Kluyveromyces lactis: one gene and its partners. Each later gene encodes a partner of the first gene's protein in a complex. Links are inferred from orthologs where the notes say so. Each region holds a gene or a part of one and is shown in the gene's direction. Other genes may lie near its edges.

Evidence for each region.
Region 2: RPA49 (region 1) and RPA14 share a complex: the UniProt entries of both Saccharomyces cerevisiae proteins name them as parts of the RNA polymerase I (Pol I) complex. The link is inferred for Kluyveromyces lactis from reciprocal best matches to the Saccharomyces cerevisiae genes RPA49 and RPA14.
Region 3: RPA49 (region 1) and RPA135 share a complex: the UniProt entries of both Saccharomyces cerevisiae proteins name them as parts of the RNA polymerase I (Pol I) complex. The link is inferred for Kluyveromyces lactis from reciprocal best matches to the Saccharomyces cerevisiae genes RPA49 and RPA135.

The regions. Positions count from the first base shown.
Region 1 is NC_006039.1:266,378-269,551, reverse strand, and holds RPA49 (DNA-directed RNA polymerase I subunit RPA49), read left to right. Parts: upstream 1-1,342; coding exon 1,343-2,581; downstream 2,582-3,174. Other genes in the region: KLLA0_C03003g (uncharacterized protein), read left to right, coding at 1-237; JJJ3 (Jjj3p), read right to left, coding at 395-883; MPA43 (Mpa43p), read left to right, coding at 2,797-3,174. UniProt on the Saccharomyces cerevisiae protein: DNA-dependent RNA polymerases catalyze the transcription of DNA into RNA using the four ribonucleoside triphosphates as substrates. Component of RNA polymerase I (Pol I) which synthesizes ribosomal RNA precursors.
Region 2 is NC_006040.1:1,414,628-1,417,147, forward strand, and holds RPA14 (DNA-directed RNA polymerase I subunit RPA14), read left to right. Parts: upstream 1-1,519; coding exon 1,520-1,999; downstream 2,000-2,520. Other genes in the region: ENT5 (Ent5p), read right to left, coding at 1-79; peptidylprolyl isomerase CPR1, read right to left, coding at 558-1,046; HOM2 (aspartate-semialdehyde dehydrogenase), read left to right, coding at 2,468-2,520. UniProt on the Saccharomyces cerevisiae protein: DNA-dependent RNA polymerases catalyze the transcription of DNA into RNA using the four ribonucleoside triphosphates as substrates. Component of RNA polymerase I (Pol I) which synthesizes ribosomal RNA precursors.
Region 3 is NC_006038.1:556,521-560,783, reverse strand, and holds the start of RPA135 (DNA-directed RNA polymerase I core subunit RPA135), read left to right. Parts: upstream 1-1,392; coding exon 1,393-4,263. UniProt on the Saccharomyces cerevisiae protein: DNA-dependent RNA polymerases catalyze the transcription of DNA into RNA using the four ribonucleoside triphosphates as substrates. Component of RNA polymerase I (Pol I) which synthesizes ribosomal RNA precursors.

The DNA.
Region 1 (3,174 bases):
AAGGTTAAAAATCGGGAGGAGATAAAGAAAGGACTGTATCAAGACTTTTATTACGGACCTGGTGACGGTGTTGTACATCACAAGTGGTTACTTCCAGAAAAATGCGGCTTTCCTATTGTAGCAAAGATAGCTAGCGAAATGCCACATGTAAGCCTCATGACAGACTTTGAAGCTATCTCTAAAGCCTTCATTTCCATATTGGACGCTGAGCAAACAAATACGGAGAAAGAACCGTAAAAATCTAGATACATTCAGTATGCTTTTTGACGTGGCTCTTAGTATGCATAAGTAAAGAAACATACCTGTAAATAGTGTGAATTTTTCATGACACAATAGATACAATATAAGGAAGTTCTTCAGGTTTTAATTGTGAAAACATAATTGATATGTCACATCACTCTTCCATAACGTCAAATAAGACTTTCAACCATAGTGAACAAGCCGAACATTGCACCAATACGAAATATCCACCTCCCTCATAATCTATCGCATGTTCTTCCAAAGCATCTTCGGTTAATTGGAACCCATCAGTTATTTGACACCTGGGACAATTCATCGAAAAAGATTGTTCATCTCCGCTGTAATCGAACAGATCTAGAGAGAAAAGATCTAGACCATCACCTGCATTGTGAAAGCCAAGTTTCTTGAACGATTCAGCAAGTTCCTCATCATATTTTTTCCTCAAATCCTGATCAATGAGGGTCTGGTAAGCTTCCTGGATATCAGTAACAGAATGACTAGATGTATTGTTTCCGTTGGAATTATAATTCAATCCAGATTTATCAGGATGTGTTTCCAGTAACATGGCCCTATAAGCTCTTTTAATTTCGATATTACTGGCATCGCTTTCAATGCCCAAAATTTCATAGAAGGATCGTTGCATTATGATAACTGGATGTTCTGCTACAGAACCACTCAACTTGGTATAAGTGCTGACATAGCTTTTTGTTGATGTCTGTCAACATTTCAATGAAATATCAAAAGCTAACCTCATCGCCTCTAACAGAGCATTGAACGAAATACAACACAGAAATCTATGAAAAAGCAGGTTTAACATGCAGCAGAAAAAGTAAGGCGTCCTGACTAAGCTTGGTGTAACGAGGTACTATAAAAGGCATTTATTAATCTGGCAAACGGTCGAAGTTTCGTCTTTCCAACTCAATAATCCAATGGTTCGGTCACATGACTCTTGTTTCTTTTTCCTTGATCGAAAAATTTTTGGATATGCGATGAGATGAGATGTAAAGCATCGATCACAAACTATATTGGGAAATTAGTACATCATTGAAAGGTATCCCAAGGTCCGAAATAAGCTGACTGTGTAGTAACTAAGAGTGTGGAGATGGGTTCCAAACGTGCATTCACTGAGGTTGGTGTTTCAGCTTATCATGATGAACCATCTGTTGCTGTAAGTAGCTTCTTTAAGGGCTTCCAGGCACCAAAAGATACCACCTTCGAGCTATATAAGAACAAGAAGAACAGCGACAAATACGTGTTACATGGTGAAAACGATAGACTAGAATATGAAGGTCAGACTGACGATGATTTTGTTAATTCTTCTCAGTATGTTGTTGGTGTTTATGATGCCGCCACGAAGTCTGTAGAATTGTACAAGGCACCACTGGTATCCAGCAAGGTTCTTTCCAAATCTAGAAAGAACCTAATGGGACCTGACATTAAACAGGCTAACGTCCGTGCTGCATTGATGAGAAACGCTTTAGGTGAGGCGTTCGGTACTAAGAAGGCAAAGAAGGCCATTGCTGATATGGAAAGAAACCGTATTGATTCAGACAAATTGGTTGATTCTGCGATAGATATTGTAGACACAGTGAAGACTGCTTCGAAAGAACTGCCTTCAAAGGAAGAACTGCAAGAAACTGTATCTTCTGATAGACCAACTCCGTTGGCTGATTTAGACGCAACAGATGTGGAACAAATTTATCCTTTATACAACATAATACCCAAAAAGGAATGGTCATTTATTCGCGTTGGCAGTATCATGAAAGAGCAAGACCCAGAAAAGAGGCTAGAATATTTCCCATACACTAAATTTCAATATGTGGCTAACAAGTTGCCAACTCTAACACAAGCAGCACAAATGCAAAAATTGCAATTACTATATTATTTATCACTTTTGGCTGGGGTGTACGATAACAGAAGAGTTAACAACAAGACAAAATTATTGGAAAGAATAAACAACCCTCCAGATGCCCTATTAAATGGCATTTTGGAAAGGTTTACCATCTCTAGACCTGGTCAATTTGGTAGATCAAAAGATAAGTCATTCTTTATCGATCCACAGAGGGAGGACAAATTGCTATGTTATATTTTGGTAATTATTATGCATTTGGATAACTTCATTGTTGAAGTCCCACCTTTAGCTCAACAACTAAACTTAAAGCCTTCCAAGCTTGTCAGTCTCTTCAAAATCTTAGGTGCTACCGTTAAGGGTGCTACTGTAGCTCAAGCTGAAGCCTTTGGCATTCCAAAGTCTTCTGCCTCAACGTATAAAATAGCAACTTTGAAGGTACCATTCAAGCTACCAGAAATGATTAGAAGAGGTAAAGGGCCAAGAAGGTAGCTTATCCCTATGATTTAAGTAGAACATGCGTTTGTATAATACTTTTTTGCAATTGATCTACACTTCTTCAGAAATCTATTTTACTATATAAAGAAAAAGAATTATTCATCTCGTATTATCAACCTTCATCTTATAATGATCAACTAAAAGAATACAGAAAGTGATGGTATAATCGAGAAATTAGAACTTAAACATCATATATAGAACCTGTGGATATGCAAGATGTTGGGATAGGTGTCGATCTGGGATCTACCGAGTTTAGAATAGGTATTTTTGATTATTATACTGATAGCCTAGTCAAGGAAACGAAAGAAAAAGTCCCTTATTTTAGGCATGGAAATGGGATCATTACCCAATGTACCTCTGATATTTTAACTGCTGTAGAAAAAGCATTCAATACTTTATATATCCAGGAGTACAACATTTGTTCATTGGGTGTAGGAGCAACTTGTTCGATGGTGGTTGGGAAACAGAAAGATGAGAACTTAATTCCCTTCAATTTGATTCATGACAAGAACGGTAGATATCACGATATCATTTTTTGGATGCATTCAGCAGCTATAGAGGAGACGGAATATCTCAACAATATTACA
Region 2 (2,520 bases), on another chromosome or scaffold:
TAACGTTCTGTGCAAATCTTGCAGCATTTCTGAAATCATGCAGACCCAAATTACCCAACTTTTTAGAAATAGAATCCATCCTTACTGATAAGATATAGCCTGTCCAGCGTGATCAATAGCGTACCACTGCAGATACAACGGGTTACCGCACTGAAATGACGAACGTATCCTCACTGATCATTAATCATGATCATTATTTTATGTTGAAAAGTCTTGTAAAGGTTGCGCTGATTGCAGAGGGCAGCTAAATTGGGAAATTTCAGGTGAGAAAAGGGAACAGGCCCGGGTAACCATTTTCATTGGGTAGCTACATTTGTTAATGGCCAAAGAGGAGAGATGATGATCTAGTCATAAACTTCCATTGATATAAAAGGGTGTTGTATATATGTATTTGAGTGTCTTCCATTACCAATTGAGTGAGATCAAATACACTCAATTAGTCAATGGGTTGTTATAGACATAAGTATATATATAGATATCCCGAGCGATTGAAGTGTGATAAAGGGAAGAAAAAAGGATTAAAATGAAAAAAAGAGTCAATTCCCTAGCTTATTTCCTTACAATTCACCAGACTTAGCGATAACAATTCTGGCCTTGGTAGCACCGGAACCGGAACCCAGGGATTCGACCTTCTTGACGACATCGAAACCATCAGCGACTTCACCGAACACGACGTGCTTACCATCCAACCATGGGCATGGAACAGTGGTGATGAAGAATTGAGAGCCGTTGGTGTTTGGACCAGCATTGGCCATGGACAACAAACCTGGCTTTTCGTGCTTCTTGACGAAGTTTTCGTCTGGGAACTTAGCACCGTAGATAGACTTACCACCGACACCAGTACCGTGAGTGAAGTCACCACCTTGCAACATGAAGTCTGGGATAACACGGTGGAAAACAGAGCCGGCGTAACCGAAACCCTTTTCACCAGTAGCTAGAGCTCTGAAGTTTTCAGTAGTCTTTGGAACAACATCGTTGTACAATTGGAAAACAATTCTACCCAATGGTTGACCGTCAGCTTCCACGTCGAAAAATACCTTAGACATTCTTAGTTTAGTTTAGTAGTTGATACTTGGTGTGTTGTAACCAAGATTTTGCAAACCAGAACAGAAGAGCAAGAACTGGACTTGAATTGGAATTGGATTGAAGTTGAATCAGAGTTCAATTGAGAAAGTGGTTGGTAGTTGCTAACAAAGGGTGGCGTTGGCTTCGCAAAATGGTATTAGGTGATGACATGCGGCCGGGTAACGAAAACGGAAACCCCATTATCTTACACATCAACCGCATTGTCGCCGCAAGTCACGTGACACACGTGACTTGCATATTTTGTTAACATCGCAAGGCACGGAGAAACATGCCTGAGTTACCCGTGCCTCAGCTGAAAAATTCTTCGAGAGACAAAACCTGAATCGAAATAATGCGATGAGATGAGATGAGATGAGATGAGATAGCCAAAGGTTGGGTAAATATATAGATGCTGATTTGATTCATCGCACTCCAACGAACAACCACGTATACCATGCTAAGGGGAACTAGAAGACCAGCAAACTCCACTTTGAACACGCCCGTTGTGGTACATACGGTGGGCACGCCAACATACCTATCTAAAGACGAAGTACTACAATTCCTAGCAAGTTTCATTGCCGAAAAGGAATCAGTACCAGGCGTGACACTAGCGTCAAGCGGAGCTTCTACAACCCAGGGAGCAGTAACTTCTGGTGGCATTAGTGCCGATGAAATGGCTCTAGATACACAGCTTTCCAGTGCTCTTGCGCAGCTGAAAAGAGTCGAAAGAGATTTCAAAGGTCTACCACCTCAAGTAATGGAGATGGAACCCTCCAGCACAAGTTCTACTGGTAATACAGAAGAAGATACGGTGGCTAAATCTGCTACTGGAGGGAAAAAGATCAAGTTTGCTGATGTGCCGGAATCTTCACAAACCTCCAGTGACAGCAAACAAACATCCTCATCCTCGGAATCGTCATCAGACTCTGAATAGACGGCTGATTTGCACTACCCACGAATCGGGAGGGTATTCATTCATTATATATATATATATATATATATATATACATACATACGCTAAGTTACATACAGTGACCGTTATAATCAATGCATAAGCTTGGAGCTCACCCTAATTGCAACATACCACGTGACTTCAAATACACAACTTTTTCTTTTCCAATGGGCTCACCTGCGGTTTCTTTCACACAGAGAGAGTGTGAGTCAGTTGGAATTTTTCGTCAAAGTGATATGACATCAGTTGAAAAGAATATCAACATTAACATCCGATTCCTTACTACCAGGTATATATTTGTACACACTTGTAGCATTCATCGTTGCTCTACTTTGCTTCTAATATACTTATCTCATTTTCTTGATCGTATTTATTCTAAAGCGATAAAGAGGATCTGAATCTTGCTTAGGAAGATTAAGAAAGAATCACTACTTATAATATACTATAACTATGGGTAAGAAAGTCGCTGGTGTCTTAGGAGCTACTGGTTCCGTTGGGCAAAG
Region 3 (4,263 bases), on another chromosome or scaffold:
GAGCATAAACGATAGGGTTTTCTGAGAAAACCCCATTGGTGAATTTCCAAAAGACGTCATCCTGTCATGTAGTTTTCTTTGGCTTTGTTTCTTTTGCTCGGCAGGGTTTCGAAACTCTATAAGACGGAAATAGAAGCACGTGTACGTCGGTTCAGAAGGATGCCATTTTGGAGCCTGCAAAGCTCAGAAACTCCAGTAGCTGGAAAGGTAAACAAAAAAAAAAGGCACAAGAAGGACCAGATCGACACAATAACCGCATACTGCTGGGGTTAGCAAAACGGAAAACGAGAAGCGATTTGGGAAATTGTTTGAAAATACGGGAATATGCGATGTACCTTAGTGTAGATGGAAGGTGTTCATCTGTTTGCTGTTTGAGACAGGAAGTCTCCAGTAGACTTTTTTCCTCAGCTACATACCTGCACTACTCAGTTTGTGAGTGTTCTTCTTCCAAGAAAGACCAGTTCAGCAGTAACTTTTAGTTCTAGATTTGCGAAAAGCCTGACAGATTAGGAAGGGTTTAATACCGCCAAGAGTTTAAATGTTGCTGGGACCACACCATTTTTTGGTACCTTTTTCTCCTCGTTTAACCTCATTTGCGAAGTGTTGGGGGAAACATTTGCCTTATTGGTACAGAAAAGAATTCAGTAACATGTATTGTTTTGGTTAAGCCGTGGGTGGTTTTATATTTGGAGCTCTTTCCATTCTTAGTGTGTTGATCTTTTTTTTTATTGTTACTGGCGGCCAGAATTTGAAGTTGATGCTTCGAATGACGGAGAAATGGTTGATGGAAAAAAAGGAAAAATGAGGGGGGTAAAAAGAAAGCCCTGTGGGGGGCTCGAACCCCCAACCTTGTGATTAAGAGTCACACGCGCTACCGATTGCGCCAACAAGGCAGAATTGATGTCTGGTGGAGTCCTTTGCTGACTCACATCAGAGACGGTCGTCATGTGATAATAATAATAATAATAATTCATCATTCTTCTCTTTTTTCTCACGTGACTTGCGAGGAATATCAAACGGACGTGGTGAAAAAGAAAAGAAAGAACTTTTGCAAAAATTGAAATATCAGCTTTTGAAAATTTTCAGCTCATCTCATCTCATCTATATCTAGATTCTTTATTCACTACAGTCTAATTGACAAGCAACAACATTCAATTAACTAAAATACTCTCTCTTCTAAGCTTGAATTCCATTGTTTCGAGGATAGCTTGATTTTATCTTCAAACAGCATTTTCGATTACTTCAAACCGAAAACCATTGTGCCTTTTTTCACTGTTCTGACCTAATATACGTTATCTGCTCTATCATAAAACCGGTGGCTAATATTCGCAGGATTCATAGGAAGCGGGACAGTGCTAATAATAATACCATTAAGATATATCAGCTGTTACCATGTCTTCGGTTATTCTTCCTCCACAAGCTCCAGTTGAGCGTTTGAACAGAACTGCTAGTTTCAGGACTTTGGAAAGAGAATCAAGATTTATTAATCCTCCAAAGGATAAATCTGCATACCCATTCCTAGCGGACGCTGTACAGCCACACATTGGCTCCTTCAATGCATTGACTGAGGGACCTGATGGTGGTTTGTTAAACCTAGGGGCAAAAGATATTGGATCCAAAGTTATTTTCGATGGTAAGGGATCGGACACTAACCCAAACTACTTGGGTAACAAATTATCTTTGAGTATTGAACAGGTGTCTATTTCTAAACCAACTTCTAACGATGGTGTTTCTTCTGCAGTAGAACGCAAGGTTTTCCCATCTGAATCCAGACAGAGATTGACTTCATACAGAGGGAAAATTTTGCTGAAGTTGAAATGGTCGGTCAATGATGGTGAAGAAACTTTTACTGAAGTAAGAGACTGTGGTGGTTTGCCAATCATGCTTCAGTCCAATAGATGTCATTTGAACAAGATGTCTCCATACGAATTAGTCGAACATAGGGAAGAATCTGATGAATTTGGTGGTTACTTCATTGTTAATGGTATCGAAAAATTGATCAGAATGTTAATTGTGCAACGTAGAAACCATCCAATGGCTATCATTAGACCTTCATTTGCTAACAGAGGTGCCTCCTACTCCCAATATGGTATTCAGATTAGATCCGTTAGACCAGATCAAACATCTCAAACTAACGTCTTGCATTATTTAAACGATGGTCAAGTTACCTTCAGGTTCTCTTGGAGGAAAAATGAATATTTAATTCCAGTGGTAATGATCTTAAGAGCACTATGCGATACCAATGATAGAGAGATTTTTGATCACGTTGTCGGTGGAGACACCTCTAATTCTTTCTTGACAGATCGTCTTGAATTGTTACTACGTGGCTTCAAGAAGAGATACCCAACTCTACAAAACCGTAAACAAACTTTGCAATATTTGGGTGACAAATTCCGTGTTGTATTCCAAGCCTCTCCCGATATGACCGATCTGCAAGTCGGCCAGGAACTTTTAAACCGTATTGTTTTAGTTCACCTTGGTGAAAACAACAAAGACAAATTCAACATGCTATTATTCATGATCAGAAAACTCTATTCGTTGGTTGCTGGTGAATGTTCCCCAGATAATCCTGATGCAGCTCAACATCAAGAAATTCTATTAGGTGGGTTCTTGTATGGTATGATTGTCAAGGAAAAAATTGAAGAATACCTACAAAACATCAGGTTACAAATTCAAACAGACATAAATCGTGGGTTAGCTATCAACTTTAAGGATCAAAAATATATGAACAAGGTGCTTATGAGAGTCAATGAAAACATTGGGTCAAAATTACAGTATTTCTTATCTACTGGTAATTTGGTTTCTCAATCTGGTCTAGATTTGCAGCAAGTTTCTGGTTACACTGTTGTGGCAGAAAAGATTAACTTTTACCGTTTCATTTCTCATTTCCGAATGGTGCATAGAGGTTCCTTCTTTGCTCAATTAAAGACTACTACCGTTAGAAAGTTGTTACCGGAATCCTGGGGTTTCTTCTGTCCGGTGCATACTCCAGATGGTTCTCCTTGTGGTTTATTGAACCATCTTTCGCATAAATGTAAAATTTCTACTGAACAATCAGATGTTTCAAAGATACCTTCCATCTTGTACTCTCTTGGTGTCACTCCAGCTGCACACGTCATTGCTGCTGGTCCTTCCATGTGTTGCGTTCAGTTAGATGGTAAGATTATCGGTTGGTGTTCTCACGAACAGGGTAAGGTCGTTGCTGACACTTTGAGATTCTGGAAAGTGGAAGGCAAGACTCCGGGTTTGCCTGTAGACTTGGAAGTTGGATATGTTCCACCTACCACTAGTGGTCAATACCCCGGTCTTTTCCTCTTTGGTGGTCATTCTAGAATGATGCGTCCGGTGCGTTATCTTCCATTAGATAAGGAAGATATTGTGGGTCCATTTGAACAAGTATATATGAATATTGCTGTGACTCCGGAAGAAATCGAAAATAACGTTCATTCCCACGTTGAGTTCTCTCCAACAAACATTCTTTCTATCTTGGCTAACCTAACACCATTCTCTGATTTCAATCAATCTCCAAGAAATATGTACCAATGTCAAATGGGTAAACAAACCATGGGTACTCCTGGTGTGGCTCTATGCCATCGTTCTGATAACAAATTATACAGGTTGCAAACCGGTCAGACACCAATTGTTAAGGCTAACCTCTACGATGATTATGGTATGGATAACTTCCCTAACGGTACCAATGCAGTGGTTGCGGTTATTTCTTACACTGGTTACGATATGGATGATGCAATGATTATCAACAAATCGGCTGATGAAAGAGGTTTTGGATATGGTACAATGTATAAGGTGGAAAAGGTCAATTTGTCTATGAACAGAAGCCGTGGTGATCCAATTACCCAGCATTTCGGATTCGGTACAGACGAGTGGCCCAAGGAATGGCTTGAAAAGCTTGACGACGATGGTTTACCACTGATAGGTACCTACGTTGAAGAAGGTGATCCAATTTGTGCATACTTTGATGACACCTTGAATAAAACGAAGATCAAAACTTACCACTCTTCTGAACCTGCATATATCGAGGAAGTTAAATTAATTGGTGACGAATCTTCAAAATTCCAAGAACTGCAAGCAATTACCATTAAATACCGTATCAGAAGAACTCCTCAAATCGGTGACAAATTCTCTTCCAGACACGGTCAAAAGGGTGTCTGTTCTAGAAAATGGCCAACTATTGACATGCCGTTCAGTGAAACAGGTATTCAACCAGATGTCATTATTAATCCTCATGCTTTCCCATCTCGTATG